Linked DNA regions of Sus scrofa. The protein of the gene in region 1 interacts with the protein of each later gene in a pairwise test. Links are inferred from orthologs where the notes say so. Each region holds a gene or a part of one and is shown in the gene's direction. Other genes may lie near its edges. The genes, in order: RINT1, RIBC1, FAM81B, FAM110A, EPC1, SFR1 and SGF29.

Evidence for each region.
Region 2: the proteins of RINT1 (region 1) and RIBC1 interact in binary tests that used the Homo sapiens proteins (3 or more experiments, as listed by UniProt). The two-hybrid records come from large-scale screens. The link is inferred for Sus scrofa from reciprocal best matches to the Homo sapiens genes RINT1 and RIBC1.
Region 3: the proteins of RINT1 (region 1) and FAM81B interact in binary tests that used the Homo sapiens proteins (3 or more experiments, as listed by UniProt). The two-hybrid records come from large-scale screens. The link is inferred for Sus scrofa from reciprocal best matches to the Homo sapiens genes RINT1 and FAM81B.
Region 4: the proteins of RINT1 (region 1) and FAM110A interact in binary tests that used the Homo sapiens proteins (3 or more experiments, as listed by UniProt). The two-hybrid records come from large-scale screens. The link is inferred for Sus scrofa from reciprocal best matches to the Homo sapiens genes RINT1 and FAM110A.
Region 5: the proteins of RINT1 (region 1) and EPC1 interact in binary tests that used the Homo sapiens proteins (3 or more experiments, as listed by UniProt). The two-hybrid records come from large-scale screens. The link is inferred for Sus scrofa from reciprocal best matches to the Homo sapiens genes RINT1 and EPC1.
Region 6: the proteins of RINT1 (region 1) and SFR1 interact in binary tests that used the Homo sapiens proteins (3 or more experiments, as listed by UniProt). The two-hybrid records come from large-scale screens. The link is inferred for Sus scrofa from reciprocal best matches to the Homo sapiens genes RINT1 and SFR1.
Region 7: the proteins of RINT1 (region 1) and SGF29 interact in binary tests that used the Homo sapiens proteins (3 or more experiments, as listed by UniProt). The two-hybrid records come from large-scale screens. The link is inferred for Sus scrofa from reciprocal best matches to the Homo sapiens genes RINT1 and SGF29.

Annotation. Positions count from the first base shown.
Region 1 is NC_010451.4:105,406,353-105,409,852, forward strand, and holds part of RINT1 (RAD50-interacting protein 1), read left to right. Parts: intron 1-2,607; coding exon 2,608-2,781; intron 2,782-2,876; coding exon 2,877-3,026; intron 3,027-3,500. UniProt on the Homo sapiens protein: Involved in regulation of membrane traffic between the Golgi and the endoplasmic reticulum (ER); the function is proposed to depend on its association in the NRZ complex which is believed to play a role in SNARE assembly at the ER.
Region 2 is NC_010461.5:46,206,963-46,211,070, forward strand, and holds the start of RIBC1 (RIB43A-like with coiled-coils protein 1), read left to right. Parts: upstream 1-1,308; 5' UTR 1,309-1,661; coding exon 1,662-1,823; intron 1,824-3,207; coding exon 3,208-3,289; intron 3,290-3,490; coding exon 3,491-3,835; intron 3,836-4,108.
Region 3 is NC_010444.4:102,008,565-102,012,064, forward strand, and holds part of FAM81B (protein FAM81B), read left to right. Parts: intron 1-1,403; coding exon 1,404-1,517; intron 1,518-3,500.
Region 4 is NC_010459.5:34,434,930-34,439,091, reverse strand, and holds the start of FAM110A (protein FAM110A), read left to right. Parts: upstream 1-1,362; 5' UTR 1,363-1,600; exon of another isoform or gene 1,601-4,162.
Region 5 is NC_010452.4:42,850,023-42,853,522, reverse strand, and holds part of EPC1 (enhancer of polycomb homolog 1), read left to right. Parts: intron 1-427; coding exon 428-587; intron 588-1,862; coding exon 1,863-2,039; intron 2,040-2,118; coding exon 2,119-2,208; intron 2,209-2,291; coding exon 2,292-2,440; intron 2,441-3,500. UniProt on the Homo sapiens protein: Component of the NuA4 histone acetyltransferase (HAT) complex, a multiprotein complex involved in transcriptional activation of select genes principally by acetylation of nucleosomal histones H4 and H2A.
Region 6 is NC_010456.5:115,063,645-115,067,754, forward strand, and holds the start of SFR1 (swi5-dependent recombination DNA repair protein 1 homolog), read left to right. Parts: upstream 1-1,310; 5' UTR 1,311-1,450; coding exon 1,451-1,463; intron 1,464-2,255; coding exon 2,256-2,368; intron 2,369-3,129; coding exon 3,130-3,543; intron 3,544-4,110. UniProt on the Homo sapiens protein: Component of the SWI5-SFR1 complex, a complex required for double-strand break repair via homologous recombination. Acts as a transcriptional modulator for ESR1.
Region 7 is NC_010445.4:18,385,131-18,389,388, reverse strand, and holds the start of SGF29 (SAGA-associated factor 29), read left to right. Parts: upstream 1-1,458; 5' UTR 1,459-1,759; intron 1,760-4,258. UniProt on the Homo sapiens protein: Chromatin reader component of some histone acetyltransferase (HAT) SAGA-type complexes like the TFTC-HAT, ATAC or STAGA complexes.

The DNA of each region.
Region 1 (3,500 bases):
AAGGAATTTTAGACCTTGGTTTATTTTACTTCATTTTTCCTTGCCCAATATGGGACAATATTTATAATCTAATTAAGTAAAATGAGTTATTTAAAAGCCTTGCTGTTGTAGTTGCCAAAGTAATAAATTAATTGAAATAGGCTATAGTTATAAATAGCCTTTTTCTGATGTCAGAATCATTATTTTTTTAATTTTTAAACTTTTTTTTGTCTTTTTAGGGCTGCACACAAGGCATATGGAGGTTCCCAGGGTAGGGGTTGAATTGGAGCTATAGCTGCCAGCCCACGCCAGAGCCACAGCAACGCCAGATCCAAGCCATGTCTGTGACCTACACCACAGCTCATGGCAATACCTGATCCTTAACCCACTGAGCAAGGCCAGGGATCGAACCCACAACCTCATGGTTCCTAGTTGGATTCGTTTCTGCTGCACCACGAAGGGAACTCCTGATGCCCAAAGAATCATATTAGAAATAGTCAAATTTATAATCAAGTAGGGTAGAGTTACTTCTCTTTGTCTTTAATAATGTGTTCTTGGAGTTCCTGTTGTGGTGTAGCAGAAATGAATCCAAGTAGTATCCTTGAGGATGCAGGTTCCTCGTTGGCCTTGCTCAGTGGGTTAAGGATCCAGTGTTGCCATGAGCTGTGGTGTAGGTCTCAGATGTGGCTTGGATCTGGCGTTGCTGTGGCTGTGTAGGCTGGCAGCTGCAGCTCTAATTTGATCCCTAGCCTGGAACTTCCATATGCCTGGGATTTGGCCCTAAAAAAGCAAAAAAAAAGTGTTCTTTCCCTGGGTCTTTTATGATACATCTCTCTTTCTAGCTTTCTTTGGGCTCCTGAGATTTTCCTTATTTTCTAATTTCCCTCAAGTGACCTGTTTTTTAGCCCATGGAACTTTTTTGAAGTAATTTCTTCTTTCTAGAACTAGCATCTTTACATTAACTCTGTTTCTTTCTTTTCTTTTCTTTTTTTTTTTTTTTTTTGCTCTTTAGGGCTGCACCTGCGGCATATGGAGGTTCCCAGGCTAGAGGTCTAATTGGAGCTGTACCTGCAGTCTACACCACAGCCACAGCAACTCGGATCCTAGCCGGGTCTGTGACCTACACCACAGCTCATGGCAGTGCTGGATTCTTATCCCACTGAGCAAGGCCAGGGATCTAACCCTCAACCTCACGGTTCTTAGTCGGATTCGTTTCTGCTGCACCATGACAGGAACTCCTTAACTCCTTTTCTTGACTATTACAGCACAGCAGTATGACTGTGAATAAACCTTGTTACCCTGGTTTTTCCTGTGCCCCATGTCATTCACGCTTCACTATTGTGTGAGGATGTATTTCATTGTCTCCTAGAATGCAGTACTCCTGAATCCTGTGGTTACTTGTGCACTTTAAATTCTTTTTTCTTAAACATGGTAGTCTTTGTTTTAACATAATGCAACACTTAGTTAGGAGTCATACGTCTTAGAAGTGGTTGAGTCAGTGAGAAGCTTTTAGGTAACTTGCCTGCATGCTGACAGTTGGAAAGGGCCCACAAAGACCTGCCAGTGCCTTACCTGCAGAAATACTGCATTCGTTGATGCCTAGTGAGGTAAGAAAGTGTTTTCAATTCTCGAGATAGCTGTAAAAGACAAAATCTGTTGGAAGGCTTAATAAGAATGATTAGAAAAGGAGAAAAAAGAAAAATGAGAGAATGAGTACGTAGGGGAAAGCCAAAAGAGCTGACAAAATGATACAAATATGAGCTCGGTATGATTGTTGAGGCCTGAGGCACTGACTAGAAAACAGCAACAGCTGGTAGAGGAAGGAGAGGGAAAAAATACTAATGCATGGTGGTGCTGTGCGGGATGGCGAGACACACTTCTGTTCCTAAGGAGGACGATGTGCCCACCCAGGAATGGAACTGAAGCAGCACACTGAGCCAGGGACCAGAGTCCCAGCTCATCGTCACCTCCCAGCACAGTGGCCAAGCCTGGGTGGAAGGTACACAGGCTGCTCAGCAGGGGAGCACACATTTCCTATCTCCTGTAGGGGTGACCTCTAAACTGAGAAGGTTAAATTTTTTTTTGTTTTTTGTTTTAAATCAGAAGCATTTCAGGGGTGTGGGAGGATGTGCCTGGGGTTTGGGATAGAAATGTTATAAAGTTGTGTTGCGATGATTGTTGTACAGCTATAAATGTAATAAAATTCATTGAGTAATTTTAAAAAAAGCATTTCATTTTTAAATGTTGCATGTTATTGAGTCAATATGCAAAATGGTAGTCCCGGGCTGAATTAGTCCTGAAGACATATTGTATTTGGCTTGCTTTAAAGATTTTTTTTTGTCTTTTGTCTCTTTTAGGGCCGTACCCATGGCATATGGAGGTTCCCAGGCTAGTGGTCCAATTGGAGCTGTTGCTGCCGGCCTGCACCACAGCCACAACAATGTCAGATCTGAGCCGAGACTGCAACTTGACTTACACCACAGCTCACGACAACACCAGATCCTTAACCCACTGAGTGAGGCCTGAGATCAAAGCTGAATCCTCCTAGATACTAGTTAGGTTCATAACCTGCTGAGCTGAAACAGGTGCTCTCAAACTTTTTCAATTTGGCTTTGCCTTGTTTTGCAGTGATAACATTCAGCAATATCTGATGACCAATAATGTCCCAGAGGCAGCCTCTACTCTGGTGTCTATGGCAGAGCTTGACATCAAGCTTCAGGAATCATCCTGTACTCATCTTCTTGGTTTCATGAGGGCCACTGTTAAATTCTGGCATAAGATTCTCAAGGACAAGCTTACAAGGCAAGGAGTTTATCTATATTTCATGGTCATTGCTTTCAGACAGATTTTTGAGGCTCGTATTTGACTGTAATGTATATGTCACTTGTCTGTTACAGTGATTTTGAGGAAATTCTAGCACAGCTTCATTGGCCATTCATTGCACCCCCTCAGTCTCAAACTGTTGGCATAAGTCGACCAGCCGGTGCCCCTGAGATATACAGTAATCTGGAGACACTATTTTGTCAGCTGCTAAAACTACAAACCTCGTATCTTTGTTGAGTTAAAACTGACTAAAATTTCTTTTTTCTAGAGTGGATTTGTGAGCAGAGAGTAAAGCAAGAAGTCAAATGGGACCACTGGGTTCGGAGTTTATCTGTATATGCCCATGGGGCGTGGACTAGTCTCCTTTCAGGTGATGGGTGGAAGGGCTGTGAGGAGTTCTGAGATACATGACTGATCCAAGTTTGCAATCACATATAAATCTGATGCAATCAAACAATCAAAAAAAAAAAAAAAAAAAGGGCAGGAGTTCGCATCGTGGCTCAGTGGTTAACAAACCCAACTAGTGTCCATGAGGTTGCAGGTTCAATCCCTGGCCTTACTCAGTGAATTTAAGGATCTGGTGTTGCCATGAGCTATGGTGTAGGTCGAAAACACAGCTCGGATCCTGTGTTGCTGTGGCTGTGGTGTAGGCTGGCAGCTATAGCTCCAGTTGGACCCCTAGCCTGGGAACTTCCATA
Region 2 (4,108 bases), on another chromosome or scaffold:
TCTAATCGAAGCTACAGCTGCCGACCTATGCCACAGCCACAGCAATGTGAGATCCAAGCTGCATCTGTGACCTACACCACAGCTCACGGCAACACTGGATCCTTAACCCACTGAGCGAACCTGCAACCTCATGGATACTAGTCAGGTTTGTTAACCACTGAGCCATGACGGGAACTCCCCCTCCAGTCTATTAATACAGGAGCCAGAGTGATCCTCTAAAACTCAAAGACACACAAGGGTGTGGCACAGTGGGTTAAGGACCCATTGTCACTGCAGTGGCTCAGGACGCTGCTGTGGCATGGGTTTGACCCCTGGACTGGGAACTTCCACAAGTTTTAGGCACAGCCAGAAAAATCATATTGCCACGGCTTCTATTCCAGAATAGAAGCCGCAACCTTTACAATGGTCTACAAAGTTCTACATGCTCTGCACCGCCCCCCCTCCATCTCTCTAACGTCATGTCCTACATAATTCACTCACATACTTGCCTCCCTGCTATCCCCTTGAATGTGTTTCTCTCATATCCACCTTATGGCCTTTGCACTTGTTCCCTCTGCCTGGAGTGCTCTCCTCTTAGATATCTGCATAGGAGACTCCCTCACCTTCTTCAAGTATTTGCTCACAAACTGCCTTCTCAGTTATGCCTTCCCTGACTTCCATATTTAAAATTGCAACACTCCACCAATTTCCTTGGCACTTTCCAGTTCCCCTTATCCTGCTCTGTATTTTTTCCCAAAACACTTACTTTCTTACAAACTAATGTACTCTCTAGAGTCTGTCCGTCCTCACTAGAAAGTAATTCTCACAAGGACTCAGATTTCTTTTTTGCTTTTTGCCTTTTTTAGGGCTGCTCCCACGGCATATGGAGGTTCCCAGGCTAGGGGTCCAATCAGAGCTGTAGCCGCCAGCCTACACCACAGCCATAGCAACTCGGGATCTGAGCCACATCTGCGACCTACACCACAGCTCACAGCAACACCAGATCCTTAACTCACTGAGCAAGGCCAGGGATCGAACCCGAAACTTCATAGTTCCTAGTTGGATTCACTAACCACTGAGCCACGATGGGAATTCCCATGTTCTATTTCTTTTTTGTGTGTTTTCTTTCCCTTTTTTTTTTTTTTTTTTTTTTTGTCTTTTTAGGGCCGTACCAGCGGCATATGGAGGATCCCAGGCTAGGGGTCCAATCGGAGCTGTAGCTGCCGGCCTGCACCACAGCCACAGCAACGTGGGGTCCGAGCTGCGTCTGTGACCTATACCACAGCTCATGGCTACGCCGGATCCTTAACCCACTGAGCGAGGCCAGGGATTGAACCCGAAACTTCATGGTTCCTAGTCGGATTCGTTAACCACTGAGCCACGACGGGAACTCCCATGTTCTAATTCTTAAATTGAGGAGTTGGTTCATGCTCTTTTATCATACTTCCTAATTTGCATATGGCTTATATATAGTCTTCTGTATGTATCAACTATTTTAGTTACAAAATGGTTAAGAAAAAGAGAGAGACTGGAACTAGCTATAGAAGAAGCTGAGGAATGGCATTCCAAACAAAGGAAGGCAGTGTACAAAGGCCCAGATATGAAATATATCAGGAAATAAAATCAGTGGGAATCAGTAACTGGTGAGATACTGTGGGGAGAAAGGTGGGGTGTAGTTAAGGATGATGGATAGCACTGATTGGCCATTCACCTTACCCTTGCTCCAGATGTTTAAGACAGACCTGCCACCAGATCCCAAGGAGGCAGCAGCCATAGAGGCTAGAAGAAATCGAGAAAAGGAGCGACAGAGCCGATTCCTCAATGTGCGGACCAGAGTCATGGGGGTGAGTGGGTAGTGGGAACTTTCTCTGGAGCAGGGTCCTGCTCACTCTTACACCTGGAGAAGAACATAGCAGTGCCCGTCACAGCCTGTCACAGCCCATCACAGCCCCTCCCTGATTCAAGCAGACCCTAAGGCTGGAAAGGAAGGAAGAGGGGGAAAACGCACCCACACCCAGAGTGGGAAGGGCCTAGGGGTGCAGGGGAAGAAACTGGGAGAACAGGAGCCAGTGTCAGTGGACTCTCCTCCAGTTAGCTCCGGGCCAAGTGGCCTCGTTCCTGAAAGACAGACAAATGGAGCCAAAAGAAATCTAAGGACTGTTTGTGTTGCATTTGCCTAAACTCTGGAAGGCTGTATAAGAAACTGTTAACTGGCCTGAGGACAGAGATGGGAGGGGCACTTGCTCATCACTAAACGTATTCCCTTTTGCACTACTTTGAAACATTTTAAATGAATTCTAATCAAAATAGTGTTTTTGGTTTTTGGTTTTTTAGGGCCACACCTGCGGGATATGGAATTTACCAGGCTAGGGGTCCAATCAGACCTGCAGCTGGCGGCCTATGCCACAGCCACTGCAACACCAGATCTGAGCTACATCTGTGACCTACACCACAGTTCATGGCAACACGGGATCCTTAACCCACTAAGCAAGGCCAGGGATTGAACCTGAATCCTCATGGATACTAGTTAGGTTTGTTTCCACTGAGCCACAATGGGAACTCTGAGAAACTATTGATAGTTTAAGAAAAAACAAGAGTGCTGGGTAGGTAGGTGAGTGGTGTGACTGAGAGAAGTTGGCAAGTGTTTCCTCAGAGCCTACTCTGTGCCAAACACTGGGTTGGGCAGTAGGGATACACAGGTGACTAAGGCCCATTCTCTGACTTTAGCAGGCACACGGTCTGGTGTAGGAGATAACTTCTGGTGTAGGGAAACTTCAATATAATGTGGACAGTGGGTCCTTGATTCTATGGGAGTAGCACCTGCTGGAGGGGTCAGGACAGTGAAGCCAGAGCTGGTCTTGAGGGATGAATAGGAGTTCAGGGGTACCCTTCATGGGTAAAGAGGAGAGGAAAGAGTATTCTAAATGCAAGCAGCAGCTGGAGCAAAGGCTATTGGTTCAAAATAGCCTAAGATGTGCAGGGAACTGGATGCAGAGCTCCTGAAGGTGGGACAGGGGAAAAGGGAACCAGGACAAGGTGGAGACAGAAGCAGAGGCTAGACCATTGAGGGACTTACAAACCATGCTGTGATGGTGAACATCATCCAGTAGGTGTTGGTTATCCTACAGGAGGATTCTGCAGCAGGTAAATTCTGAGCAGTTTGTGTTAGAGCATGCAAGGCCCGCTGCTGGGCCCTTACCCTGATTTAGTTCATTTCTTTGGGATCAGGTGGACGTTGAAGCCCTGAACAGCCAGGTGGAAGAGCGAAAGCTTCAGGAGGCAACAGAGCAGAGCAAGAAAGCAGCTTATGGTAAAAGCCCAAGGGCAGAGGCCAACCAAGGGGGAAAACAAGGGCCTGAGTGGGTTAAAGGAGGGCAGTTCTGCCTCAGAGTGGGGCCTGAGGCCTGAGGTGTCTTGGGACAAACCAGATGGGCCTTTGGGAGCAGTGGCTATGCTGAGTGGGCTCTGTCCCTCCCATGGGGCCTTCTCCATGTCCTTGCCCACCACCCAGGTACTAACCAGGTGCAGTATGATGTGGTGGCTCAGATGCTAGAGAAAGAACAGGCAGAACGGACACGTCGGCTGGCCAAGAAAGTCCAAGAATTTCGGGAGCAGAAGCAGCAGCTCAAGAACAGGAGTGAGCTTGACCTTTGGGATCCACACCGACTCTGGAAGGAGTTTCCACCTCATCTCAGTAACAATGATCCATACTGTGGCCCAGCCAGCCTGCAGTACTTCTCCGGGGAGGACCTGAATAGATCCACACACCTGAGAATGCAGCAAGAGCAGTTCAGATATAGCCTGGAGAGGCAGCTTCAAGAACAACAGCAAGCCAGAATTGACTATAACTGTGCAGGTAAGCTGCAGGGCCATCCAGGTTACGACCTAAGGCCTAGCAAGGAGCTGTCCTGAGCTGGGTATAGCACCCAGAAAACCAGTATTGTGTTGGGAGGTCCAGTTACCCATAGGGCTGATGCTGAAAGGGTAAAGTGAGCAGGTCCCAACCACCCTGACTTCCTTCATCAATTGACAGTATAGCCATTGAGCCCCAATCAGCCTGGCACTCCATTACCTGGAGGCAGCAGAGAGACCACAGGCCTAATGGTTCTGCAACTTTCGCTGGTCTGGG
Region 3 (3,500 bases), on another chromosome or scaffold:
CAGTAGGTTGAGGGGTCAGAGTTCTAACCAAAACCCTCCGCAACCATAGCCACCCGCTCCCAGACACTGGTGTGCTGGTCTCCCTTGGCACTCTATAAAATGACAGAGTGGTGTAGTGAGCATTTTAGAGTGCTTGCAAAGCATGAAATACTGTACCTCTAAGTTTTAAGGGCTTAGCTTACCACTAGAAGACATAACTTTGAAGCAAAATCAGGAGTGCTTTTTCCTGTGGGATCAAAATTTGTCATTCAGCATCCTGAACACCCTGCGTATCCTCTGAGAAAGGCAAACTCAGTACCATAATTTCAAAAGTAACTCAGCCGAAAACATCATTTCTGTATATAAGCGCCAAGTAGTATTAGAACAATATGCAAATTATAATTTTAAAACTCAGGAAAATATTTCAGAGCTGAAACAATTCAATCTTTTTGAAACAAGCCAAACGAATGAAGCAAATTTCTTCTGTGAGCCTCAAGTTCACCCACCCACCTGCCCTAGCTGCATTCTTTGTGATACTCCACTTAGTGGCCTAGAAGAGTTAGCTGCCTTCACTCATGCTTGGAGGAATATGGGAAGTACGGCAGCCTCTCATTTTCTTTGTCTAATTTGAGGGAAACTGGTCTCTAATCAAACTGTGAAGGTGAAATCAGTGGAAAGGTATAAAATGGTATAAAAATAACCATTTCCTCACCCAGTGAGACAGTGAGGTGAAGGACCTAGTGGTTTTTACAAAAATGAACATTAAGGAAAACACTTGAAGCTCCTAATCCAGGGACCCACAGACCTAAAGTATGAGAGCCAACCTCATTGACATCACAGATCCTTCCTGCAGTCACAATGCTGCTGGGCCATGCCAGGAAGATGCCCCAGGAACAAGAAGACTTTAGTCAGGATGCGATCAAGTTTCCTTAGTACTTTGGCTTTCCGAGAGAGAAAATTTTAAACATCTCTACTCCCTATCCAAAAAATCCAATCGACAAAAAATAAAGTCAGGAAGTCAAGCATCATGAGTTCAGGTATTTATCTCATGGATTATTCAAGATCTCTAAATCTCTCATACTTTGCTATCCTACATATATTTATTATTACATAAAAACAAGGTAATAAATCCCAAAGAAGACCCTTGAATGGCTCAGGCACAGTAGAGTGAAAAATCACTTCCTGTTGTTTTAGAACAGTTTGATCTAAATGAGTGCCTCTCCACAAATTTCCTAAGCTATTCTAGCTGACTGTACATGTCTTGGGGACTTGGGAGAGAATTAAGGTGGGAGGAGGGTAAAAGCAAATCGGAAGCTTCCCCTTAAACTTCATTGTTATGTACAGCAACTTCCCTCAATTAAAAAATATTTAAAAATTGCCCGCACTGCAAAAATTCGCTTGCCATAGTTCCTGATCTGATTCAGCATTCTGGTTGCCTAGATACAGATGTAAACAAAAGTGCCTCCCTGACTGCTGAGGAACAGCCAGATGAACCTGATGGCCCCCTTCCTGGCTCAGCCAGTGACCAAGAAAAGAAAGCAAGTACTTTTACATATTCGTATTAAAAATAGAATATTTTGCTCAACTTCTTCAGAGCTTAATATTGCTTAGAGAATTCTAAGGAGTCCTAGAAGTGTTGTTTTTCTTTTCACTCTCCCACATTTCCTGTTTGTTCTGCTTTGATAAAGTGACTGTTGCCAGCTCAAGCTGGGAAGGAAAAGGATCTCATTTTGTGAATACTGGACTGACTTTTAACATGTGGGGCTAAAAATTAACAAAAAAATTGATGATTATTTATTTTGTGAAAATTCAAAGGAACTATGATAAACGCAAAGTGTAGATGTTATCTCTGATATGAAAAAGAGAATAGCTAAATAGAATTTTTATTGGTATGTCCTTGTGATATCTTCCCCATTAATTAAAAAGAACATTCAAAGCAGCAGTGTTTTCAGCCTTTGCTTTGTAATTCTCGAACACCTGAGCAGCAGGCACAGCCTCTTGTGGCAGGAGGAGCACCGGGAAGTTAGCCCTATGTCAAGCACTATTTTTGGTATCTATTAGCTGAGCCACATGTTGGCTATGTGACTTTGGGCACTTAAGCTCTGTTTCCTCTTCCGTGAAATAGGCAAATTAGGCTACCATACAAAGATATGGCATTTGAATGAGCCACAGAGGCCAAAAGGACAGAGGAAGGACTCAGTCTGATTATTACCATCATCTGTATGATCTTAAGCAAGTTCCTTGCTTCCCCAATCCTGAGATTCGTCACCCATAAAAACAATCATCTTAGGTTCTTTCTGCAATAAAAAGGGATTTCAGGGAGTTCCCGTTGTGGCACAGCAGAAATGAATCTGACTAGTATCCATGAAGATGTGGGTTCAATCCCCGGCCTCGCTCAGTGGGTGGGGGATCTGGCTTTGCCGTGAGCTATGGTGTAGGTGGCAGATGTGGCTCGGATTCTGCATTGCTGTGGCTGTGGTGTAGGCCAGCAGCTGCAGCTCCAATTCAACCCCTAGCCTGGGAACTTCCATATGTGGAGGGTGTGGCCCTAAAAAGAAAAAAAAAAAAGGAGGATTTCAGTTATATAAGTTAACGATTTTTATCCATAAGTTAAAGGTAATGATTCTTACTTTCCAGGGCTATTTCAAGAATGAAATCACATCATGCATGTGAAAGTATTTTATAGTCCATTATACCATAAAGCATTGTTATGAAACTGATGAAAATTAACACATGTAAAATGTCCCATAATAATCAAGAAGTTGTTTGTGAGACAATTTTGATATAATTACTTTTAGAGTGTAGGTATAGGGATGAAATAGCTGACTCATACTCAGCAAAATTATGAAAATTTAGTCTAAAATACATTAAATAAAATTTACATTTAAAAAATTGCACAGGAAAGAGGAAATAAATGTGCCACAAGGTTAACAGCTTTTGCTCTAGATAGTAGAATTATAAATGAGAATTTTTTTCTGTATCTTCTACTTTTCTATATTTTTCCAAATTTTCCTCAATTGTCAGGTTTAACATTTGTTACCTTAAAAGCATGAGAGTTCCCATGGTGGCTCAGTGGGCTGAGAGCCTGAATGATGCTGGCTGGCTCGATCTGTGGCCTCGCTCAGTGTGTTAAGGATCCTGTGTTGCTGCAAGCTGAAGCATAGGTCGCAGATGCAGCTCCAATCCAGTGTTGCCATGGCTGTGGTGTAGACCGCAGCTGCAGCTCCAATTCCACCCCTAGCCCAGGAACTTCCATATGCCGCAGGTGCAGCCTTAAAAAAAAAAAAAAAAAGAAAAAAAAAAAGAAAAAAAGTATGTGGGTTATGGTTGTGCTTTTAAGAGGATGCTATTTATTTATAGTCTTCCAAACAAGACTTTAAAATGAACAAAATAAAATAAAACATATATATCCAATTGTTTCGCTTTAGAAGGAGAAAGGAAGACAATAAGCTGGTAACCTACTGACCTTGCACACAATATTCATTATATTCTTTCATTCCACAAGTACTCACAAAGGACTA
Region 4 (4,162 bases), on another chromosome or scaffold:
TAGAATCTTTCTCCTCAGATGGTTATGAAGTCAAGTGAGACATTGTGAGTATGGCCTTGAGCACAGTCTAGCAAGGGCACAGTTAGTGCTGGGTTTTGTATTTAGCTGGTCCTCACAGTCTCCTGTTGATGTCAGAGCCAGTCCTGAAATGGCTGGCTGTGCCCATGCCAGAGTACAGTCATGGTTAGCTAGGGCTACATTATTAGCCCTCTTCCCTCACCTGCCCAAGGCATGTCACAGTCAATGCTCAATCACTGACAATCCAATCAAAAAATGAAAAACACCAGTTGGGACGGAAAACAGTCTGACTCCAAAATGAGCAATGCCCTAGACCCAAACAGTGACTCACAGCTAAAAAATTCCCTCATCTGGAAGGGCTGAGTTAATTTTTCTAATTCTCTTTTTAAAATTTGTTTTTTGGAAGTGCCCTTGTGGCACAGTGGGTTAAGGATTTGGCATTGCTGCAACTGTGGCACAGGCTGCAAATGTCATGCAGGTTCAGTCCCTGACCCAGGAACTTCCACATGCTGAGGGTGCAGCCAAAAGAAAACAATTATACTGGTTTAACTGTTGGAAGCTTGGAAAATTCATATCAGCAAAAAGAAGAAATTAACTATTGCACATGTTAATACATAAATGTAGTCCATGTGATATTACAATTACATATTTAATGCATATTTACATTGTACATAGTACTTTGACACAACTTTTAGAAATATAAGACTTAGTGCTTTCCCCATATTTTAACGTCATTCTAAATGACTGCATAATATTTCTCATCAGAAAGTGAGGATAGTTAAAGGTACCTATAACTATGAGCACTGACAAGAGTTGTGTCATGAAAAATTACTTGTAAAAAGCTCTGTAAACTCAGTTCTTCTGCAGGATGGATTTATATATCCAATCTCCTTTTACTGAGCACTGAAGTTATTGCTGTTATTTTGCTACAGTAAATAAAGCTGGGCTATATTAATCTTGTTCATATATTCGGTTATTTCCTTTGTCAATATTGAGAGTGCTGGATATACGCTACTTCAAACTAACCCACTCACTCTGCAGATTGGGGAACAGAGAGGGAAAGGGGCGTGCACGGGCTCACAGAGCGAGTTAGTTGGAAAGTCAGTACTAGGAACCGGGAGTAAGTCCCTGCTGAGCAAGGGCAAGAACCAGAGGCCACTGGGGAGGTGAGAGGCGGTGAGGGGCGGGGATGGACCTCGGTGCCGCCGGCCAGGGCTCACCCTCCTGGCTGAAGCTGAGTGGTCGCCTGGCAACGCGGGCGGCGCGGCGTTCGAACGGAAGCGAGAAACCAATCAGGATGTCCGGGGCAAACCATTCCGGTGTGGTGGAGGGGGGAGCGGCGCGTTCACTTCCCCTTCCCCTGCGTCCCCAGAACTTTACTCTGGTGGGGGCTTGGAACAGTCGAGTCCCCTACCTCCTCTCGGGTGTTGAGGGCAGCTCAGAAGGACCTCCCGTGCTTCCCTACGCGGGGCTGGGGCCTCCCGAGACGCGTTGTGTGCGACCGTTCCCCGCCTGGGTCCGAGCTGTCAGCCTCCTCAAGACCCGCACTGGAGGAGCCGGACTCGCCTAGCGCGGGCTCCAGGTGAGGGCACGGGTGGCCCGGGGCGCCAGCCCGGGTCTAGGGGGTGCTCAGTTCACCCTGCGCCTGCTGTGCGCGTCCTCCCCGCGTGGTACCTGCGGCGAGGAGGTGGTACCCCATTTCACAAATGAGAACGCTGAGGCTCAGGGAGGCAGTATCCTAGTCTAGCAGAGAATCCGATACAGGTCTTTCTGCTCCATACCTCAGTCTCTAGTCTACGTTGATCTAAATAGATCTGCCTTGAGAGGCTCAGATGGGTCACTTTCTTAGCCTCTTATCAACAGGAACATGGACAGTAGAGCCCTGGCTGGAGCCCCATCTGGCTGTCCCTCTCCCGTGTCGTCCTGCGGGGTGGGGGTGGGGGGTCCCCTCCTGGACATCTGTCTTCACTTCTCCAGAAAGCCAGGGGGTGGACTTTGGGCTCACTTGGGATCTTTCTGCCTGTGGGGCTCTGAATTAAGTGCTGTCCCTCTCAGAGGCTCTGGTGGGACTGACATTTCTGGGCTAGGTGCCAGGGGGGGCTGCTCTGGCTCTCCAGTTGTTGTTGGATTCTTGGGAATCTACCACAGGTCGGCGGGAAAGGCTAGAGGCAGCCCCTCAACCAAAGACACTAGTCACCAGAGACTTTGGAGTTGGGGGTGGGCCTGGGATCCCTCCTGGTAGAGCATCTGACCAGGCTCTGTTTCCTGGGGACCCCCACCCCCTATCTCCCACCCCCAGGTTGCTGCTGTTGCTGTCCTTTTGTAGGTGGGGAAACTGAGGGTCTAAGAAGTTAAGCCCCTTGCCCAAAGTCATATGGTCAGACTTGGCAACTCTGGGGCTGGCTCCCAGTCTATCTGGCTTCAATCTTGGATTCCTAGACACTCAGAATGGTGGCATCTGGAAGTCTGGAATCTCTTTAAGTGGAGTTACTTACCCTCTCTCCTCCAAATCCACCTCCTTGGTGGGGGGGAGAGGAGTTCTGGAAGCTCAGAAAGAAAACAAGTCTTTCCTTCATTCTTTTAACAAATATTTACCAACTTCATATGGCCCCACCCTCCCCCTTCTCTATTTTGTTTTTCTCAGTAGCATTTACCGCGCTGATGTCCTATAATTTCACTTATTAGCAAGTTTATTATCTTCTCTGACTGGAATGTGACGCAGGGAGGGGTTGGGCTAAGTGAGGTAGTTACCTCCAGTGCAAAATTGAGGGGTGCCTAAAACCCCAGTAATCAAATGACTAGAGCTAACATTTGTTGATCATTTGCTGAGCGCTCTGCTGGTGGGAGTTCAGTCGATATGCAGCACAGCCCCCCAGCTCTGTCGCAATTACAGGTGCTTCCTCCTGACCTAGCTGTCCCACTTCTAGGTGGAGTGACAGAGGTGCAGTGAGGCTGCAGTGTGGTTTGTAATAGAGAGAGACGACACACATACTTGGTGGCCGTTGCTAGAGGCTGACAGGTTCTTTATGTACTGATGTGGCACAATTAATAACATAATTGATAATATGTTAATAACACATATTAAGAACAATATAACTGAGTTAAAGAGCAAGATGAAAACAGTACAGAGAGCTGTTGCCATATGTGTAAAAAATAGACTATATGTCCATTATTGTTTGTTTGTGACTAACATCTCACTGGGAGGACGTGCAGCTATCTCGTCGCAGTGATGCCTGCAGGGAGGGAAACTGGGGACAGGAGTGGGAGGGAGGTTTTTTTTTTTAACTTTATTCCCTTTAGAGCTTTTGAATTTTGAGCCACATACATATATCACCGGGTTAAAACATATATGTCTTATAGGAGTTCCCACTGTGGCGCAGTGGAAATGACTCCGACTAGGAATCATGAAGTTGTGGGTTCGATCCCTGGCCTTGCTCAGTGGGTTAAGGATCTGGCGTTGCCGTGAGCTGTGGTGTAGGTCACAGATGCGGCTCGGGATCCTGTGTGGCTGTGGATGTGGCAGAGGCTGGCAGCTGTAGCTCCAATTGGACCCCTAGCCTGGGAACCTCCACACGCTGTGGGTGAGGCTCTATAAAAAGGAAAAAAAAATTATATATGTATATATATATGTATTATAGATGATCTAATCATGAGACCACTGTCCTGTCTCTGTTCTGTCACTTGCTCGTGACTTTGGGTAAGTTTCTGTACTTCTCTGGGCCAAGAAAAAAGGCCATGATTGTGAGCTCAGGCCCAGGCAGAGGGCAGCCTGGGACAGGAAGTGGGCTTGGTTGTGGGTCAGTCCCAACCCCACCTTCCTCATCCTGTGTGCCAGGCCCTTCCCAAAGGCTTTGCATGGCAGTATCTCTGCTGCCAGTCCCTTTGTCCTCATCTTGCAAGCTCAGGTGCACACCTGGCGTCCAGAGGATTGAGTGGGCAGAGGTGTGAGGTCGGCGGGCCAAACAGGAGATCGTTGCCTTAGGCTGCGGCACCCACACCCCTCCTGCAGCCTGTTTACCTCTTCTTTCTGAGGTTTGTGCAAGGTTGCCCTGGGCAGAGCTGACTCCAGGCAGGCTGGGGCACGAGTGTCTGGGAGAAGTCCAGAAATAGCACGGGGCCCGCGTGGCCCTAGAGGATGCCCAGC
Region 5 (3,500 bases), on another chromosome or scaffold:
GTGCTGCAAGTGTGGCCCTAAGCCAAAAAAAAAAAAAAATTCTTACGATTCATTCAGCCAAAGTAGTTTTATAGCAGAGGCAACTCAAAATAGTAGAAAGTTCCTCAGCACTGTTTTAGGCATGAATTTCAACATCTCTCCCAAATCTTTCACCAAAATTGCTGTGTTAAAATTTAAACCTTTGGGTTTTTCCTGCAGTTATCTGTTAATGGTGAGAGAAAGCTGTAAGCCAAAAAGTAAAAGAAAGAAATGATAGGAATTATGTCATCTGTAGTTTTAATAAGCATTCAGCAAATAGTCAAGGTTTAACTGTAATCTTACCTTAAGGCTAATCAGTGTTTGCAGTTATACCTCAGTTAGCTGTTAGTAGTCATGAGGATAAGTATGTGTAGAACTAACTTTTTAAACTTTCTTTTTATAATTTCAGGTATAATTTGGGTGACTACAATGGAGAGATCATGTCTGAGGTTATGGCACAGAGACAGCCAATGAAACCTACTTACACCATCCCCACCATCCCCATCAGCAACAGCAGTCAGTTTAAACACCAGGAAGCCATGGATGTGAAGGAGTTTAAAGTTAATAAGGTGATAAAAATTGCTCTGATAATAGCTGAAAATGTTAGTGGTGTTTTATCGTTACATTCAAAATGAGGAGTTCCCTGGTAGCTCAGCCAGTTAAGGATCTGAAGTTGTCATTGCTGTGGCTCTGCTTTACTGCTGTGGCAAGTGTTCAGTCCCTGGCCCAGGAACTTCACATGCCCTGGGTATGGCAAAAAAAAAAAAAAATCAGAGTGGAAAAGAAATATGTATGTTTATGTATATATATAAACCCTACTCTTAAAACCAGATTTTGATTTAAGACTGGACTGTTGATACAGCACTAGAAATCATAAAGAGAAATACTTCATCATTTAATAATTAACTTTTCTTTAAAAAGCTTAATGCCATAAATTGTATGAAACTTGACATAAATATTTAGCATATTTATACAACCATGATACTTGCCATGTTCTTTTCTTCCCAGGAAATATCATTTGTGCCTCTAATCTTTCTTGCCTGTTGCCTACACATGGAATTCGTACCCCCACAGCCTCTGCCATCACCTGCTATGCTCATTTGTAATAGGCACTGTGATCCTCACTCCATCACTCTTGCCTCTCTCTCTTTTATCCCTGCATTTCCCTATCTGATGATTTCATATCTTTATCCTTTAAAACTGCTCACAATTTTTCACTCCAAAAAGCTTTCGTTGTTGAGCCAGCAAGTCCTTACTACTCTTGACTTTTGGGGGTGTTGGTGGGAGTCGCCCCCACAGCATGCAGAAGTTCCCCAGCCAGGGATTGAAGCCTCGCCACAGTTGTGACCTATGTACTCTTTATTTTTTTAATACTTTTGCATCATCAATTTATTTTTCACTATGCTAACAGTTATCTGAAGTTTGCTCTGTGTGTATATAAAATTGTTTTAATTAATGCTTTTCCAGGGTTGATTTGTTACTTTTTTAAAGACTAGGCATCCCTTTTGAAAAATTCTGCCCTAGCATTTTCATAGAAGTTAAGAAAAAGATACAAGAGCCAGTGGTAAAAACTAATTGCAGTTGCAAGATCTCAGAGGCTGGAGAACTTTGACTTTAATGGAAACAGTACTTGATGATTATGTTTAGGTTGTAGGAACATACTTATGTTTTCACAGAGACCAGCCTCTGAGACTTTACAGTGTAAGACGACAAAACGTAAAGGTCTTGTGTCTCTGATGGTAGAAAGGCCTTCATTTTAGCAGTGAACTTATTTTTAAGACTTCCCCAGAACTTTCAGTTTGTTGAACATGGTTTCTAGTGTTTAATTCCTGACTGTATTGCAGCAAGATAAAGCCGATCTTACCCGACCTAAACGTAAATATGAAAAGAAGCCCAAAGTCTTACCTTCGTCTGCTGCTGCTGCCCCTCAACAGGCGAGCCCCGCCGCGCTGCCGCCCTTCAGCGCTAGAGACCTGAATCAGTACGACTTCCCCAGCTCGGATGAAGAGCCTCTGTCCCAGGTGAGTGGCGAGGGTTCTCTGCGGACACAGGCGGTAACATGGGAGGCACACGTTCTGACTGGCTTCCTTCCATTGAAAGGTTTTGTCTGGCTCTTCGGAAGCTGAGGAAGAGAATGACCCCGATGGCCCCTTTGCTTTCCGTCGGAAGGCAGGCTGTCAGTACTATGCGGTAAGTTCCTAGTTCTCTTCTCGAGTGACAGACTGTTTACCTCTCGCTGACCAAGAAAAATAATTGGGGTTTTTCTTTTTAAGCCTCACTTAGACCAAACTGGCAACTGGCCTTGGACTAGTCCTGGCGATGGCGGATTGGGGGATGTGCGATACCGATACTGCTTAACCACCCTGACCGTACCCCCGAGGTGCATTGGATTTGCACGAAGACGGGTTGGGCGCGGTGGAAGGTGAGGTGTCTGTACTCTTGCAATGGGGATGTTTTAGGTGGCGGGGTCAGGGGATCTCAAGTTAAAGTGAGGTCATCTGTCTAAAGAGCTCATTTGTTCCCACCTGCTGTTCTTAACCAATTTTTTGGACTAAAATACTGGCTACCTGTTTCTTTGTTTTTCTTTTTTCTTCTTTCTTTTTTTTTAGGGTCGCATCCATGGCATATGGAAGTTCCCAGGCTAGTGGTCAAATCGGGAGCTACAGCTGCCGACCTACACCACAGCCACAGCCACAGCCACACAGGATCCGAGCTGCGTCTACGACCTATACCACATTGCACAGCAATGCCGCATCCTTAACCCACTGAGCGAGGCCAGGGATCAAACCTGCAACCTCATGGTTACTAGGTGGATTCGTTTCTGCTGTGCCACAACGGGACCTCCTGATACCTATTTCTTATTCAGCCATAGCTTTTAATGCATAACTAATAGTTGCCTAATGGATCTGCTTTTCTTCCTGAGATTGTAAACCTCAGATATCTATTCTTAAGAGATAGAACTCTGAGAAAAGGCAGCAGATGAAGGCAAGTGTAAACCATAATTACATAAATTGTATTAAGTTAAGGAGACTACACAAAATTGTTCTAGGAGTTCTGGGAGACATTGGGGGAAAAGGATTAAATAGGCTAAGGAATGTCACATAACTAGTATACTGAGTTAACTCCCAGTGGAAAGGCTCCAGGATTCACAAGCCTTGATATCGCCTTGTCTGGACTTCTTTGTTTAAACCTGATGAAGCCCTTCACACTATAGATGCCTTGGTGTGAGAGGTTGTGTGGGGAAGGAAGAAATTACGGAAATTAAAAAAGCAAAGAAAGACAAAGACACTCAAGTAAATGTGAAAAAAAAATTTTTTTTTAAAACAAAACGGAGTTTCTGTTGTGGTGAAGCAGAAACAAATCCGAATAGTATCCGTGAGGATTCAGGTTCCATCCCTGGCGTCGCTCAGTGGGTCAGGGATCCAGTGTTGCCCTGAGCTGTGGTGTAGGTTATGAATGTGGCTTGGATCCCACATTGCTGT
Region 6 (4,110 bases), on another chromosome or scaffold:
CATATGTAGCATAACAACTAATGAGTGTTTCCTACTGCTGTTCACCCTGTCATGAGTTCTCACTTAATTCTCCAGTATCTAGGTTGATACTATTATCCCCACTTTATGGATGAAAAAACTGAGGCACAGAGACACTACATTACAAAGAACACAAAATAATGGTGTTGAGATTTGAACCTAGGCAACTGGACTCCAACATTTACATCCCTAACACTGCATTATATCGTCTTCAGGATCTGTATTTATATTCCACTGTTCAGGACACCTTAAATTCCTACCGGGTACTGGCTACTTCTAAACCATTATTATTTTAGTGAAACACAGTATCAACGTTTAAATTGGCCATTCGCTAGGATTCAAAACATTGGATCCTTAAAATTTCCAACTTCCACGTGACTCAGAAATTACTCAACTGTCTTCTCCTAAACCTAGTGCTCCACCCAATTTAATTAACTTTGTTGTTGCGCAGCATCAGAACGGCAGCACACAGGAAAGGATTATTTTAGATTAAGGATACTGCTGCCCAGCATTCAGCGAGGGCAAACTTCTGGACCAATACAATCTTATTCAGCGATTGCTGGGCTTCCTGTGTTGCACCACGACAAATTTTCCTTGGACTACATTTTTTTTTTTTTTCCTCTCTCTCAGATTTGACTTAACAATTTGAAGCCAAGCTAAAGAATCTAAATGTTGTGGTAGATTCAGCAGAGAACTCATGGACGTGCCGCCGAGTTTGCGGCAGCAAAGGCTAAAAATTAGCTCAACTGCATCCGCTCTCAGATTTCTAACCTGTTTGACTCTCAAAAGGCCATTTAAGCCAGCGCTGCTCTTTTGTGGTCTCGCCTTCGGAGTTTACAAGCTGTAAATTTAACACAGCCGGCCCCACGTCTCTGGGTCCCGTGCAGCGTGAAGAAAGGCCTTTGCTGTGGAGAGCGCGGAGACGAGACAGACGCCGGCCAGATGAGGGCAAGCATTCTTAGGCGTCCTTCTCAAACACACAAAACCCAGGAAGCAGGAAAGGAAGGCAGTGCAAGGAAACAGTAGGGAGGAGAAGCCGCGCAGAGAAACCGCCCCCTTCTCGAGAACAGTCTGCCATTTAAAAGCTCAGCCCGGCGCGCGCCTGACGCCCGCGGAGGCTCACGGCCGCGCGCGCGCACAGTCCCGAGCCTCCCGGGCGCTGGGCGGAGCAGAGCCGCGCGCGTCGGTCAACTCAGCCAATCATGTATCTCTGCCCCCCCCCGCCCCCGCTTGGCCCCGCCTCGCCCCGCCACCAAGCGAGGCTCGGGGCCGCGCGCGCGCAGTCGCGACACTCCGGAACGCGAGGCAAAGCCAAATTGCGCGCGTCGGTCGGCCTGGCCAATCGCGCGTCTCTTTGGCCTCCCGCGTGGTCCCGCCTCCGAGACGCTTTGGCCAGGGCTGCGGCCGCGCCCGCTTGCCTCGCAGCGTGGGGATGGCGGCGGGAGGTAGGGTCCAGGGCGCCGAGTGGGTCTCTGTTTAGGAGTTGACTGGGGAATGGAGCTGCGCTCCCTCTGCGCGGCGTGGGAACCTCTCAGCTCCACCTCAGGCCTGGGGGCTCGAGGCTCGAGTTGGTTTTCTGCATTGGCGGGCGGGGAGGGAGTTCGCCTCCCTCTGGTAGTTTGCTTGGTGAAGTTGATGGCGTTTGTTTAAGAAACAAACTTCTGTAGACTCTCCCTTTCAGTATCTCTTCGCCATTAATGGAAAACAATGCAGACAGGAGTGAATTAGTCTGTGCTTATGCTCCTTGTTCCTCAGGCCTGGAGCGTCGGTCATTGGTTCTAGTCACACAACTTTGATGATTAGGGTAGTGTGACTGGTCTGATTATGTGTTTTTGAGTCAAGACTTAATTTATGCTCCCTTTCATTGTGAAGCTGGCGTAATGAAATTGGCGAAATTAAAGAATTCCTGACTGTACAAAGTTGTTATTCTCCCTACCCTCCACGTGGCAGATTTTGAGGACTTCATCAATAAGAACAAGTGGAGAGTTGTTTCTATAAGAAGCTAGCGGGTTAACTTGTCTGAAAAAACTAGTAGTCACCATATGGACCAACACTATCTGGTTTAGGAAGGTAAATGGAAAACTGCAGAAGGATCAAGAATGAATCACAACTAAATGAAAAGGGAAGTTGTGGGCTTACTTGTGGATGTTACACACAACAGTAAAAAAAAATTACTTGATAAAAATTGAGGAATGTAGAGGTATGGGTTCATTTGATTTCCATTATTGCTTTTTTAGAAGTAAACCAAGATTTCAAGATGGGAAGTCCAGACTCAGCTGTGATTTTACCTAGCACTCCACAAGCCGGTGCCAATCCACCATCTCCCCCTACAAGTAGTACAAGAAAACAAGTATGAAAATCTAATATTTTCTAATTTTATATTTCTAAGTATTGTGTCACGGGTGGTTTTAAGTCTATTGAAGATTGTTAACAATGTGTAGACTAATAAGTAAAAATTTTCTTAGCAAAAATTTTTAAGTCATTCCCCTAAGGTAATGTATTGGACACCCTCCTCCCTGCTCCCGCCCAAGTTTTCATCATGAATCAATAATTTTCATTTAGTTTCAGTTCAGGTTATTACAATATTCTAAACAGGAAGTTTGAATCTGTGAGGTCATAAAGGTCTTTGGTAGAAAAATCTAGGTCTTTTCCTTAATTTGTAAGTCTGAAGCACCTAGAATAGTGTCATGCGTGGGCTAGTTACTGAATAAATGTTTGTGATTACTGGGATAAGTGTCTCCACACTGTTTTAGAAGGGGGCTGACTTTGCTAAAATAAAAAAATAAAATTTAGTCGAGCTTCCAGAAATTGGACATTGCGTGATGGTTACTTTAGATATATGGAGACAGAAAGCCATCTAGTGGTTCTGCTATAGAAATGTAAAGTCTTGATTTTTAGTGGATTTATTTATGTCAAGAATTTTTTCTTGGAGTTCCCTTCTGGCACAGCAGGTTAAAGATCCAGTGTTGTCACTACAGCAGCTCAGGTTGCTGCTGTGGCACAGGCTCGATCCCTGGCATGGGAACTTATACAGGTGGTGGGTGCAGCCTTTAAAAAAAAAAACGGAGGTTTTTCTTGATTAATAGTATCAATGTTTGATGTCTTTTTCAGCCTATGAGTGCAACCCTTAGAGAAAGGTTAAGGAAAACTAGATCTTCATTTAATTCCTGTTATAGTGTGGTAAAACGACTTAAAGTTGAGAGTGAAGAAAATGATCAGACTTTTTCAGAGAAACCAGCATCTTCAGCAGAAGAAAAAAACTGTTTGGAATTTCAAGAAAATTTTAAACACATAGACAGTGAATTTGAAGAAAGTCCATATTCGAAAAATACCTTCAAGAATATCAGTGCATGTGAATCTAATTCATTTGATACTGAATCATGCAGAGATCTCCAAGATGATTTTATGAACGAGAATCTTCCTAAACAAGGATTAAACAAAGAAAAAGCAAAATTGGTGAAGCAGATTCAGGAGAAAGAAGACCTTCTTCGAAGGCTAAAACTAGTCAAAATGTATAGATCAAAGGTGAGAATTTCAGAACCATTGCCTAATTATTTTTTGATTTTTTGATAAATGGTAGGAAAGCACTTCATAAAGTTTATTTTAGCGTAATAAGCTAAGAAACCTGGCTTCCAACAACTTTAACTCAAATATAAGTCATAGATTTAGAGTAGAAGAGGCCTCTAAACAGCAGGTACAACTTTTGGAAAGTTCCAGCCCTCATTTAGTATGCAGTGGAAGCTTTTCTCTCTAGTTTCCAGCTCACAACAGTATTAGAGGTTTCAGATGTTAGCTGCAGGTTGCAATGAGAACAGAAGTGACAGCTGACAGGGAATGAGTTAAAAATCTAAAAATGGGCCACAGAGTATAATAAAAAGTATTCTTAGTAGTGATCTTGCATTATTCCAAATTATTAAAATGTTCCAAGTATTCAAGAAAATAACAAATATATATTAGATTTTAGATTTCAACTCAGATAGCTGAAGTAAACAGAACTTGAGCACTTGGAAGAAGATGACCCTTATTTACCTGGATCATTCATGTATATTGAAATTGTTCCTTCTTCCTCAACAATGTAGAATAGGTGATGGA
Region 7 (4,258 bases), on another chromosome or scaffold:
ACGCCAGATTGGAGGCGCGTCTGTGACCTACACCACAGCTCACGGCAACGCCAGATCCTTAACCCAGTGAGCGAGGCCAGGGATAGAGCCAGCAACCTCATGGTTCCTAGTCGGATTCATTTCCGCTGCGCCACGACAGGAGCTCCTGTTGCTCTGATTTGACCCCTAGCCTGGGAATTTCCACATGCCGTGGGTGCAGCCCTAAATAGCAAAAAAAAAAAAAAAAAAAAAAAAAAGAAAGAAAGAAAAAGAAAAAAGATTAATCCAGTGATACATGTTAACTGATACATAGTTATTGCAGGAAACTTCAGAAATTAAAGATAAATTCAAACAAACAAAAAAATTGAGCCCCAGGAGTTCCCTCTTGTTCAGTGGGTTAAGGATCCAGTGTTGTCACTGCTATGCCTCAGGTTACAGCTGTGGTGCAGGTTGGATCCCTGGCTGGGAAACTTCCACATGCCATGGCACAGACACCCCCGCCCCAAAACGAGCCCCAAATCTCCCTTGAGGAGAAAATAAAATTGACATTTGCCATTCAGGAGAAATAGCTTCTGAGACTTCATTTTTTTAAAAAATTTTATTTTATGGCTTCTCCCGCGGCACATGGATGTTCCCAGGCTAGGGGTCCAATTGGAGCTACAGCTGCTGACCTACACCACAGCCACAGCAACACAGGATCAGAGCCGCTACACCACAGCTCATGGCAATGCCTGACCCTTAACCCACTGAGCAAGGCCAGGGATCAAACCTGTGTCTTCACAGATGCTAGTCAGATTAATTTCAGCTGCGCCACTACGGGAACTCCTGAGACTTCAATAAACACGAAAATGCGAACTCCTTGCTTCTGTAAACCCCATAAAACGCAGGATATAGAACTGAGACTGGGTAGATGGTCATGCAACTTACTGAGAGACCACAGAAAGAAGAGTAAGTTTGATGGTAAAAAATGTTGCATTAAGTTTTGGGCTGAAATGGTTTGTGTTGAAGTCTAAGACTCTAATATGAATTTTAAAAAATAGAACGCTTATTATATACCAGCCACTATGGGTGTATATAGGTGAATAAAACAGTGGATCCTAACCTCCCTGAGCAGGCAAGTGTACCAAACAAACGTAAAATTTGGTATGGGTTATGTAAGAGATTACAAGATACTAGGATGTAAACCGTTGTGGTTAAACATTTGCTCACAATGACAATATGTTCCTGACAATACTCTCTAAAAGAATGATATCTGGGTTTACAGATCTGCTTATTTCTATTTATTTTTAACATTTTTTAAATGAACTTTAATTTTTGAAGCAGTTTTAGCTTTCCAGCAAAATTGAAGGAACAAGTACAGAGTTCTCATATGCCCACTGCTCCCCCTTCAATCAACAATCTGCTCGTTTAAAAATTTTTTTATTGTTTCATCGAGGTTTTGGTAATAGGAGTGGATACTGAAAACACGCTCTGGTTGGTTAAAACAAGGTTCAGCTGAAGAGGCGGAAACTCTGTGTCCAAGTAAAAACTACATTTCCCAAGGAGCAGCGCGGCACGGGAAGAGAGCGCACGCGTAGAGAGGAAGACAGCGCACGCGTAGAGAGGGTCTCGCGCTGCTCATAAAAGGGAAAAAGCGTGCGTGGTTCTTGAGCCGCCGCGAATCTTCGAACGTGAGCGCGTTGTTATCCGCAGACTCTGAAAGGCATTCGAGGGAAGACGCGCCTGCTCCCGCCGTCGCAGTTTCCAGCGCGACTTGCTTATTCCACCCGTGGTTCTGTAGGTGGGTATACGTCGTGGTCTGAGGCACTGCTTGGCTCCCCGCACCCCCGCTCGGAGAATGGCGGGAGCGGAGGGCCGGGGGGTCCCTGTTCTCGGGCGTCGCTGAGGCAGCTCTTGAGAGGCAGTGCGCACGCGCCCTGGACCGGGAGAGGCGGGGCGCTGGGAGGGAGGGCTGGCGCCGACCTTCTCTGGTAACTGACTGCGCCTGCGCTCGCCGGCTGGAAGAGGGTGGGAAGCCGCTGCACGTGGAGCTTGGCTCCGTGGCTGGGAGGGGTGGGTACGCACCCCAGGTGCGAGAGAACAAGGGCAGAGGATGGGGCCCGCACTTTGGCAGCTTTCATTATTTGCTGAAGGTGTGCTTAGTTTAACAACCTCATTCTTCATATTCCTCCAGGTGCTTTCTATTTCACTGCAGCCAAAACTTCATTCTCTACTCATTAGCCCCTTTTCTCCTTCAAACACACTCCAGTAAGGCCTTGGCTCTCACCCCTCCACTGAAATGGAAATGCGTGCTTCATTTGCTATGCGGAACATTCTCGTCTTCAGCTTCAGCTCTTTCTGGTTTCTCCTCTGCTGATTCTTGCTCTAACTTACCCTCAGTGGTTGGTTGTACTGCCCCACAGCCTCATCTTTGATCTCTTTTCTGTGCTGTTTCCTAGGCTTTAAATACTCTCTCTTTTTTTTTTTTTTTTGTCTTTTTGCCATTTCTTGGGCCGCTCCCGTGGCATATGGAGGTTCCCAGGCTAGCGGTCTAATCAGAGCTGTAGCCACCGGTCTACGCCAGAGCCACAGCAAACGTGGGATCCGAGCCGCGTCTTCGACCTACACCACAGCTCACGGCAACGCCGGATCCTTCACCCACTGAGCAAGGGCAGGGACTGAACCGGCAATTTCATGGTTCCTAGTCGGTTTTGTTAACCACTGAGCTACGGCGGGAGCTCCTAAATACCATCTCTTGTGTTTAACTCTCAAATTCTTGTCCTCAACTCATTGCTCTACCTGAAATTTTGAGTTTTACCATTCACCTTCTTCAGTTTTCCAATTTTTCAAACACCTTGAGTTATACTAGATGTCTTTTGCTTCCCCTCTGTCCTCTTTCTCCATCAGTCAGTACATGTTTATCTGTTTATATACTTGTTTATGTGGCCACACCCACAGCATTCCTAAGTTCCCAGGCCAGGGATCAAATCTGAGCTGCAACTGCCAGCTAAACAGGATCTTTTAACTCATGGCTCTGGGCTGGAGATAGAACCAGCACCTTGGCAGCAACCTGAGCTGCTGCAGTCAGATTATTGTTTATTTATTTGCTTTTTAGGGCAGCAGGTGTGTCATATGAAAGTTCCTGGACTAGGGATCAAATTGCAATTTCAGGTGCCAGCCTATGCCACAGCCCATGGCAATGCCAGATCCTTAACCCATTGAGCAAGGCTAGGGATCAAACCTGAGTGCTCATGGATACTAGTCTTGTGTTGCCACTGAGCCACAAAGGGAGCTCCCTGTAGTCCGATTCTTAACCCACTGGGAACTCAGACAGTCTCTCTTCAGAGCATGTTAACAGGAACTGATTTGTTTTCCAGGATCAGGGAGAAGATACTGAACAGTCCAGCTTCAGAACTGTTGCAGTGTTTCTAAGTTCAAAGACCGTTTTAGGAGGCCTCCAGGGAGTACCCTGGTGGCCTAGTATTTAAGGAACTGGTACTGTCATTGCCGTGGCTCAGGTTGGATCCCTCTGCAGGTTACAAGTATGGTGTTAAAAAAAAAAAAATTTCCAGGATTCAGTTCAGTTCTGCACTTGCTTTTGAGGACTTAGTAGGTGCCAGGCCCTGTGCTAATTGCTGGGAATATAAAGATGAATAAAAGTGCATCTCTCTCTTTTCAGAGATCTTGGTGTGGCAGGAGAGACAAACAATATGGTAGTCTCTGGGTGCATGTGTGACAAATGCAGGAACAGATGTTTGTGTCCGGTGCTTTAGAAGTTTCTGGAAGTTCTGATTGCCCATGGCATCAGGGCAGATTAGAGGGGCCTGAGACAGCCACATCTCCCTGCCAGTTGTTTCTGGCTAGGAGCAGCTTTGTCCTTGTACCGTAGTATGCCATACAAATACTGTCGTGTTCTCTGTGTGCCCTGGTGTGGAAAAGCTTGGCAGGTAGTGCTGAAAAAGTGTGAATTTTGCTGCCATTTGATTTGGGCCCTGAAAAAATGAGTAAATTTGAGAGATCCAGAGGCAAAAATGGAGAAGGATCGAAGGGCAGACATAACTGAAACATACAGGTCTGCTTGTTTGAGGCAGGGGCCCTGAGTATTTCAATATGGGTATCGTAGGGTAAGGTCAGTAGAGAAGGCTGTTTGAGAGGTGCCATTCAGGATCTGAAGCAGTGCCTTGAGAGTGTTTTGTACACCTCAGTGTCCGTTTTTATGAATACCTCCCCCACCACAAGGCACCCTGTTCTCAGTGGGTAGGTCTATTAGCATCCATAGTTTTAGAGATTAACTTTCTGG